2 linked regions of the Macaca fascicularis genome follow. The protein of the gene in region 1 purifies or fractionates together with the protein of each later gene. This does not show direct contact. Links are inferred from orthologs where the notes say so. Each region holds a gene or a part of one and is shown on either strand. Other genes may lie near its edges.

Region 1 (4,275 bases):
TCACGTCACTGCACTCCAGCCTGGATGACAGAGTGAGACGTCGTCTCAAAAAAAAAAAAAAAAATTTACTTAACTAAGTACATGTAATTTTGGCCTGCTATATATTTCCCACATTCTATCTTACACATCATGATGTCACTTCCTTGATATAATATAAAGACATGGTCTTTGGAGTACAACTGACCAAAGTTCAAATAAATACCAGCTCTGCAACTTGTTACTTAACCTCTCTAAAAGCCATAGTGAAGGTTAAATGAGATTTTGCATAAAAACTACCTGACACATAGTAAGAGTTCATCAGGTGACAGAGGTTATGAAGCGGGGAGGTGAAGTCTAATACTTTTATCACAGTTTTAGAAAAGCATTCTGCATTCTCAAAAGATTTAAAATAGTGCTCTGGACCGGGCAATCCTAGCACTTCGGGAGGCCGAGGCAGGCAGATCACCTGAGGTCAAGAGTTCCAAATCAGCCTGGCCAACATGGTGAAACCCTGTCTCTACTAAAATACAAAAATTAGCCGGGCATGATGGCGGGTGCCTGTAATCCCAGGTACTCGGGAGGCTGAGACAGAAGAATTGCTTGAACCCGGGTGACAGTGGTTGCAGTGAGCCGAGATCACATAACTGCACTCCAGTTTGGGCGGCTGAGCAAGACTCCCTCTCAAGAAATAAATAAAAATATAAATACAAATAAATAAAACAGTGCTCTAGTTCTAATTAGAAAGCACTATTCGGGCAGCGCGCGGAGGCGCACGCCTGTAATCCCAGCATTTTGAGAAGCCGAGGCGGGCGGATCACCTGAAGTCAGGAGTTCGAGACCAGCCTGGCCAACATGGTGAAACACTGTCTCTACTAAAAATTAGCCGGTTATGGTGGCGGTCGCCTGTAACCCCAGCTACTTAGGAGGCTGAGGCAGAATCGTTTGAACCCGGGAGTTAGAGGTTGCAGTAAGCCAAGATCGCGTAACTGTACTCCAGCCTGGGTGACAGAGATTCTACCTCAAAAAAAGAAAACACTATTAATCATTTTCCAGGGCAATTATCTCTAAAAAAAGTATTATCTAAAACTTTTCATAAACAGTAAGAAAGAGTCATCCTATTCCTTCCATTTCGGAAACTATTTCATCTGAATTTGTTTCCTGAAATTCCCAACCATTCTGCCTGGAAGATTCTAACAGAACTATCCCAGTAAGGGAAAGACAAAGATATATGTTGACAAAAATGAATACATAATTAAAAACCACATATTTATTTTCTCAAGGCAACAAGATGATAAATTTTATTCCTTTCCACTTCCCACAATTTGAATTTTTCTTTTGAGTTACTCTTTATGAATGACTCCAATGGCACCCACAGCTCCATTCACGACTTTCCCCAAGAAAGCTTCCAGGTAAACAGAAAAACAACGAATGTTAGCTCCCTAAAACAATAACAAGATGGAGACAAACACTGGATTCTGTTTTTCTACATTCAAACAACAGAATCAGTACACAAAATCAGAAATACACCCAGAACCTCAGACAAAACCCATAAACCTTCCTAAGGAATCTTGCTTAATTCTCACTTCTTGCTACCCATTTATCAAAGTCTTGGAAAATGCTAAAACACGGGTCTCAGCCTCGTCTGTTCAGTGATCCAAATCTGCCACTGCTAATGCATTCAGTACCCCAGATTTGAAACTGTTTTGTGAACAGAAATACTTAGCAGCAGCAGATACGGGCTATGCCAACATTAACCTTGTGCCTAAAACAAAGTGATAAACCACTCCTAGCCTCACCCTCAAAGGAGGGTAAGCAGTAACGACTCCTCCAGGAATACGGCCAGGACGCCAGGGTTATCATTAACACTCATCAGCTCAAGCCCAAGGTTTAGCCACTGCACCTCCACCGCCAGGGAGCCGCGCGGGGCGGGCAGAGGAATGAATGAGACGGGCGGGCGGGGCGCAGGGTAGGCCCGGGAAAGGCGGGGCCGCACTGCCCGGTCCCCACCGCCCGACACCGCCCCCAGCCCCGCCCCCAGCCACCCGGGCTCCGCGGCAGCGCTGCATTCCCCGCGCGATTGCAGCGCGCGCCCGGGACTCCTTCCCGCCGCCGCCTCCCCCTCGCTGCGCGACCCCCAGCACTTACCTGCTTTGCAAACCGGGGCGCTAGGGCTCCTCTTCTCCGGCGAGCTTCGGCTCTGCTCCGGAGACCTCCTCCGATGCCGGACGCGGGCTGGGGGTGGGGCCGCGCTCACCTCGCCGGTCCACAGGTGGGTGGGCGACGAGCTGGGCGACGACACGGTGCCCAGCAACGGCGGCGGTGGCGGCGGCCGTGGGGGGCTCCCGCGAGCTCCAGGCGCGGCGCCGCGCGTGGGGCTGGTGCCTCGCGTGGACGTCGCGGACGCGCCCGTCTGCGTGGCCACCGTGGGGCTGGTGCGCGCGGCCGCGTTCCCGCCGCCGCGCGTGGGGCTGGTGCTGCGCAAGGCGGTGCGCGGGCCGCCGCCGCCGCCTGCGGGGCCTGAGGCGCCACCACAGCAGCCACCGTTGTTGTTGCCGCCGCCGCCGCCGCCGCCGCCGCTCCGCGTGGGGCTGCCATGTTGCTGCTGCTGCTTCAGCTGGAACGGAACCGTCGCCCTCATGGGCTGCAAGCGGCTCCCGGGTCCCCCGGCCGTGGCGACCGCACCACCCCCAAGGGAGCCGGCCGGCGTGGGGGACCCATTGCGCCTCACCCGCTGGGACATGGTCCCCCCCTCCCCGGTGACTGGGCGAGACGGGGGGTTTTGTTGTTGGGCTGCAGGGGGAGGATTCTCGAGGCCGGAGGGCAGGCCCCCGCGCGGGGTGACGAAGCTGGACTCCGGGGTGCAGGGGGCGACCGGGCCGGGACCGGCAGCAACGAGGTGGTGCAGCCGCCGCCGCCGCCGCCGCTCCTCATCAACAATAGTGTCTCCTCCGCTGCCCCCGCCCCCCACGATCGCCCATTGGTGCAGCGTCAGCCGCGCTCGAGCCGCTCTACCGCTCCCATTGGCTACGAGCAGCTCGGGTCCCGGGCCCCCGAGGCCTTGAGAGCCTGGGTGTGCGCGGAGACCGTCTGCTCTTTAAAGAGAAAGAGACCCGCCCCCCGCGGGGAGGGAGCGGAGGAAATGGGCAGTGTGTGTATGTGTAGTGTGCGCGCGTGTGTGTGTACACGTGAGTGCCCGTGTACGCGCGCGCCTAGCCACGCGCGCCTTTCCCTTCCCGCAGTGGGGAGCCCTGGGGACTCAGACTCTGGAAGGTTGCCAAAGGAAATGTCCGGACCCGGAACAGTTCCCAGGGATGGTCTGAAGCCTTTTCCGCATAACTCATTTCCTTACCCCAGTATTCACTTGTATTCACATGTACGCGCCTCTCCTTCGGGCTTTTATTCTTAATGTTTTTGTTCTGCCCTAATTCCATCTACCTATGGACAGGGCTCAAAAGGAGAAGAAATTTAACAAATCTTAAGTGGCATTTTACACCCCTCTCCTTTTCTTATTTTTTAGAGCTCTACAAAGAGGCAAATCTCAGAAAGATTAAATTTGCCTGTTAGAATGCGGTTTTAGATAGTATCTATGGAGTTCAGTTACCACATGTTATTCCTACCCTCCTGTATCTCAAGTAATCAAGACTATTTTAATCAGCTGCTTCGCTGTTCCCTGATACCTTGGAAAGATGGCTGCTACCTTACCAGTCTGTAAAATGCTATAGTTTACAGAGGGCCTTATTTGATTCTACACGATCATTGTTTGAGACAGAACTGGGCCAGCCATCCATGTTTTTGTCTAGTGGAGGAAACAAGTCTTTGGTGTGGCAAAGACCCAGGAAGGCAGGCAGTGACACTAGTTCTAAAATGGCCTAAAGGGCTCCTTATCAAGAAAATAAAAAATGGTGGACCCAAAACCTACACTCCCACCTCTCTGGCTATAAATTGCCTATCCATTACCTCTTTTCCCTGTACTATTTTTATTAGTTGTACATGCTAGACAGATTTCGTCGTGTAAAAATGTGGGAGTGGAGACCATAGTATGATTCACTCTGGACCTGAAATCCTACTGGATCCCTGTGCGCGGTGGTGGAAGACTTTTGTTTTGTTTTGTTTTTTTGAGACGAAGTCTCGCTCTGTCCCCCAGGCTGGAGTGCAGTGACTCGATCTCGGCTCACTGCAACCTCCGCCTCCCGCGTTCAGGCAAATCTCCTGCCTCAGCTTCCCAAGTAGCTGGGATTACAGGTGCGTGCCGCCACGCCCGGCTAATTTTTGTATTTTTAGTAGAGAAGGGGGTTT
Region 2 (4,258 bases), on another chromosome or scaffold:
CCAACCACTAGACATAATCCTGTCTCGCAGGGTTTCTTAACTTGGGGTCTGTGAACTTGAATTGGAAAATCATGCCCATATTTCCATTCACCTCTAGCTAAATATGTTTTATTTCCTTCAATTACAAATGGGTTAGGTGCTCACAGTGGCATAAGTATCTGTGACTTCACCAGCAAGAGAAATATTTTTTCCCACCACGGTGCAGTTAAGCATCTTGAAATGCTGTTTACCCTTGTCACCACTTCAAAATTACATTAATAATTACACTGGATGGTGTAAATCAATATATTTATTAAAAGTACATATGACTACATCACCACTTCTAAAAACATGTTTATATCTGTAGTGCAACGTAAGTGGTTTCTTTTGTAATTCTACGTGTTCTATGCATTTGAAAACATAACTATGAGAAGGGGTCTATTGGTATCAGATGATCATAGCACACAGAATTTAAGAACCCTGACCTACTGACAGGTGGAGGCACAAAAATGATTTTAAGACAGCACATTGCCTACATCATGTGAGTTAAGATATAGCTAACTGCTTACGCTGTTGATAGTGGGGTTATTAGTTTGCATTTCACTGCTAAGCCATGCTACCTGTGTGCCTGGAACAAAGAGGAAGCTCCAGAGAGTTGCTAAAAGAAAGGACAAACTGGGGTAGAGTTCCTGCAACAGCAGTTTGACTACTCCATTGATTCTACCAGCAGCCTAACTGTGGCTCAGTTTCTCCTCTCTGGAGAATAGGAGTAACTATTGTTTACCCCGTGACACTGGAAAAACACACAGGAAAAAAACATTAATTTGTGTGAAAAATTAAGCTTAAGCTCTTTGAAAGACATACTTTTTTATTTTCCACGTGTATCCTTAAACAATAGTTCTAGTGGTCTTAATTTTACTAACACGGTGTCCACATCAGAATCTTGAATCCCATTCCCAGTTCAGCTGTCCACAATGGGCCACAAGGAAGAAAGAAGCATCAGAGGAAAGGAAATACAGCTCTATTTCGCCCGGGAAATGGGTGAACTTAAAGATCAGTGCATATTGCTTGGATTTGTTTGTAAATATGTTCACGTATGTGTAATGTCTGGACAATGAAAATTCATCGCTTTCATCAGCTTCTCAAAGAGGACTCCAAAGAAGACCTACTCTAGAGAAACGTGCTCCTGAAAAACTGTAAACAAACTGTAAAATATTCAAATTTCTTTTTTACAAGACCCTCACATGTAAACCAGAACCCCTTCCCTACAGCAAACTGTGGGTCACAGATAATAAAACAGGCCTGTGCAACACCTCACAGCTAGTCAATAATCAGACAGGACCCACTCCTAGACCACCTGGCTTTTTCCCCCCTGCATGAGCCTTGTCACTGAACAGTTTTCTTCTTCTTCTTTTTTTTTTTTTTTTTTTGTATTTTAGTAGACAGCGTTTCACCTTGTTACCCAGCCTGGTCGCAAACTCCTGAGCTCAGGTAATCTGCCTGCCTCGGCCTCCCAAAGTGCTGGGATTACAGGCGTGAATCACCGCGCCCAGCCAGTTTTACTCTTCTTAAATCTGATGCTCATGGCATAAGGCAGTAGTGGCTTTAAATATCACTAGCCACAGCTTTCAGTTGCTCTGATCGCTATCATTCAACTTTAATTGAGTAAAAGGAAGAAAGCAAAGAAAATGCTTCCAACTGACTTATTCAGCTTTCAAAGATGAGTTTATGTTGCAATGCCAGTTTAAAAGCTCCCCTACGACACCGTGCTTCTATAAAGGATTCTCAAATTGATGAATGTCCAGCAAGATCTATTACTAAAGGTCACACAACTGTACTAGCATGAAACAAGCCAAAAGATAAGGCCCTGTCATCCTGTGTTCAGGAAACAACCGCGGGATCATGCCACAGGCCAAGATTTCCAAAGAGATTGCTTTAGAGAGAATGGTTATCAGGAAGCAAGAGCAACAGTAATTCTGGCAGAAGGGCTAGGATCCACACCCGGGGTGTGGGAGTAGGGGGCGGGGAAGCTTGTACAACAGATCGTCTTAATAGAAATCTAGTGTGGCCAAGAGTGCACGACCGCGAATAGAAGCGTCTGCATTTTCCTTCACAACTACCACTCCCTCTTCCCTTCCCCGCCCACCAACGAAAAAAATGCGGCAGGAGTGGAGAGCACGGGAGGAATAAATGGAGTATCTTTGGGGCGTAAACCCGGTTTTAAGACCTGTTTCCACCACGAAATAGCTGCCTGACACAGGCAAGTCACAAAACCGTGACTCAGTTTCCCCACTACACTGCCGACTACACAAGAATGCTGCCGGGATTAAATGAGACAGACAACGAGTACGAAACCTTCAGCACAGGGCCAGACATTGGAACCGCTCCATGGCCCTAAGGCGAGTCCGCAGGAGGGTTCTGGGGCCTGGGCTCCGGCCCGGAAAGGGCGCTCCCGGGGCCCGCTCCCCGCCAGCTGGGTTCCGAGGCCCTGCCCGGCCCACCTTGTTGTTGTACTCCTCCACGAAGCTGCCCAGCGCCAAGCGAAAGCGCTTATCGGGCCGCACACTCCAGTTCATCGCGTAGACCGTCCAGGGCGCTTCATACTTGTAGATCTCCTTCCGTTTGCCGTGCAGGGACATGGTGGCGGCGGGGCCGCAGTACGGGCCGGGTCAACAGTGGGCTGCGGCGGGCGGGGTGCGAGTCGGGCGGGGAGCCGGGCCTGAGATCTATGGGTCCGAAGGGAGGAGGGGCGGGGGCGGGCAGGAACGGCCTACCCCGGAAGCGGGGATGCGGCGACAAACAACGACAACGACCGAACCCGACCCCTAGTTTCAAACCAGCTTGGGCACCGACGACAACCACCTTCCGTTTCGGGACGCCGCCCCGCCCTCTCGGAACGGAAGCCACGGGACCCCTGCAGCGCCACCGGCCGTTGGTTGCCTGACACGTCCTTTCGAAAGGATTCTTTCTTCTCATTGGTTATTGCGGCCGTAGCGTGTGAAATCTCCTCGTTATTGGGTTAAATGTTTGTCATTGCAACTACTCGCCCCGCCCAACTCTCGGAGGCAGGCGCTTTGGCAGCCCCAAAGATCATTGGCTGACCAAGATGTCAGTCAGGCAGATAACGGCGCAGTGCGGGTGGTGGGGGCGTGGGTGGCCGGGAGGCGAGCGTGCTGGAGTAGCGGGCCTCCAAGTTCTAGGCCAAGTCTCTGAGCGTGAAACTGTCTGTGACCTGCGCTGACTTCTCCTCTGCTGCTGCTGTTCTGAGCGGCCTTTCCATGCTGTCGAGTAAAAGTACAATTCTGCTTTAGCGGAAGACCTACTACTTTCGCGGGACCGAGCCCCGCGGCCTGGCAGCCTGGCCTATGCGCAACGGGTACCACCTTCCTGCCCCTTCTCTTCCCAAGGCCCCTTTAACCCGAAAGCTGCTGTCTTCGGGCCTCAGGGCCAGGCTTCAGGGGCGCAGCTGCGCTCAGGGCCAGGCCAGCTTGAGTCAGGTCCTCCCGCGCTTTCCTGCAGGATCTAGAAATGTCCCCGAATTCTGGGGTAGACACCGACCTGACCAGCTTGGCTCTGTTTTTGTCGGTTCCCATCCTGTACCTTCCCCGCCGTGCATCCCAACGCAAATGCTAATCCAGCCCCAAAAGTATCTGTGCCTGTGAGTTTGAAAGGGAGAAGGGCCAGAGACCAAGTGACACCTTTATATAAATGGTTTCCAATTCTTAGCTTTCATCAAAATTGAAGGAGGTTTGTATTGAATTGTTGGATTATAACATTAAAGTTTTTTTTTTTTTTTTTTTTTTTTTTAAAGACAGGGTCTTGCCCTGTCACCCAGGCTGGAGTGCACTGGTGTGATAAGGGCTCACTGTAGCCTCGACTGCCTAGGCTCAAACGATTCCACTTTAGCCTCCAGAGCAGCTGGAACAACAGACGTTTGCCACCACACCTAGCTATTTTTAAATTATTTGTAGAGATGAGATCTCTCCATGTTGCCCAGGCTGATCTCGAACTTAGGCTCAAGCGACCCTCCCACATCAGCATCCAGAAGTTCCGGGATTACAGGCTTGAGCCACCATTCTGGGCGCTAAATATAATTTTTAGTGAAAATGATTTTTCCATCTCCCAGGTTTAAGTGATTCTCTTGCCTCAGCCTCCCGAGTAGCTGGGATTACAGGGGTGTACCACCACGGCCAGCTAATTTTTGTATTTTTAGTAGAGACAGGGTTTCACCATGTTGACCATGCTGGTGTCGAACTCCTGACCTCAAATGATCTGCCAG

Evidence for each region.
Region 2: the proteins of FAM117B (region 1) and DCAF7 purify together in Homo sapiens (affinity purification with mass spectrometry; 3 studies listed by BioGRID and IntAct, with this or other methods). This does not show direct contact. The link is inferred for Macaca fascicularis from reciprocal best matches to the Homo sapiens genes FAM117B and DCAF7.

The regions. Positions count from the first base shown.
Region 1 is NC_088386.1:98,502,229-98,506,503, reverse strand, and holds the start of FAM117B (protein FAM117B), read right to left. Parts: upstream 2,907-4,275; 5' UTR 2,720-2,906; coding exon 2,125-2,719; intron 1-2,124.
Region 2 is NC_088390.1:70,058,791-70,063,048, reverse strand, and holds the start of DCAF7 (DDB1- and CUL4-associated factor 7), read right to left. Parts: upstream 2,852-4,258; 5' UTR 2,619-2,851; coding exon 2,481-2,618; exon of another isoform or gene 2,356-2,480; coding exon of another isoform or gene 2,335-2,355; intron 1-2,334. UniProt on the Homo sapiens protein: Involved in craniofacial development. Acts upstream of the EDN1 pathway and is required for formation of the upper jaw equivalent, the palatoquadrate. The activity required for EDN1 pathway function differs between the first and second arches.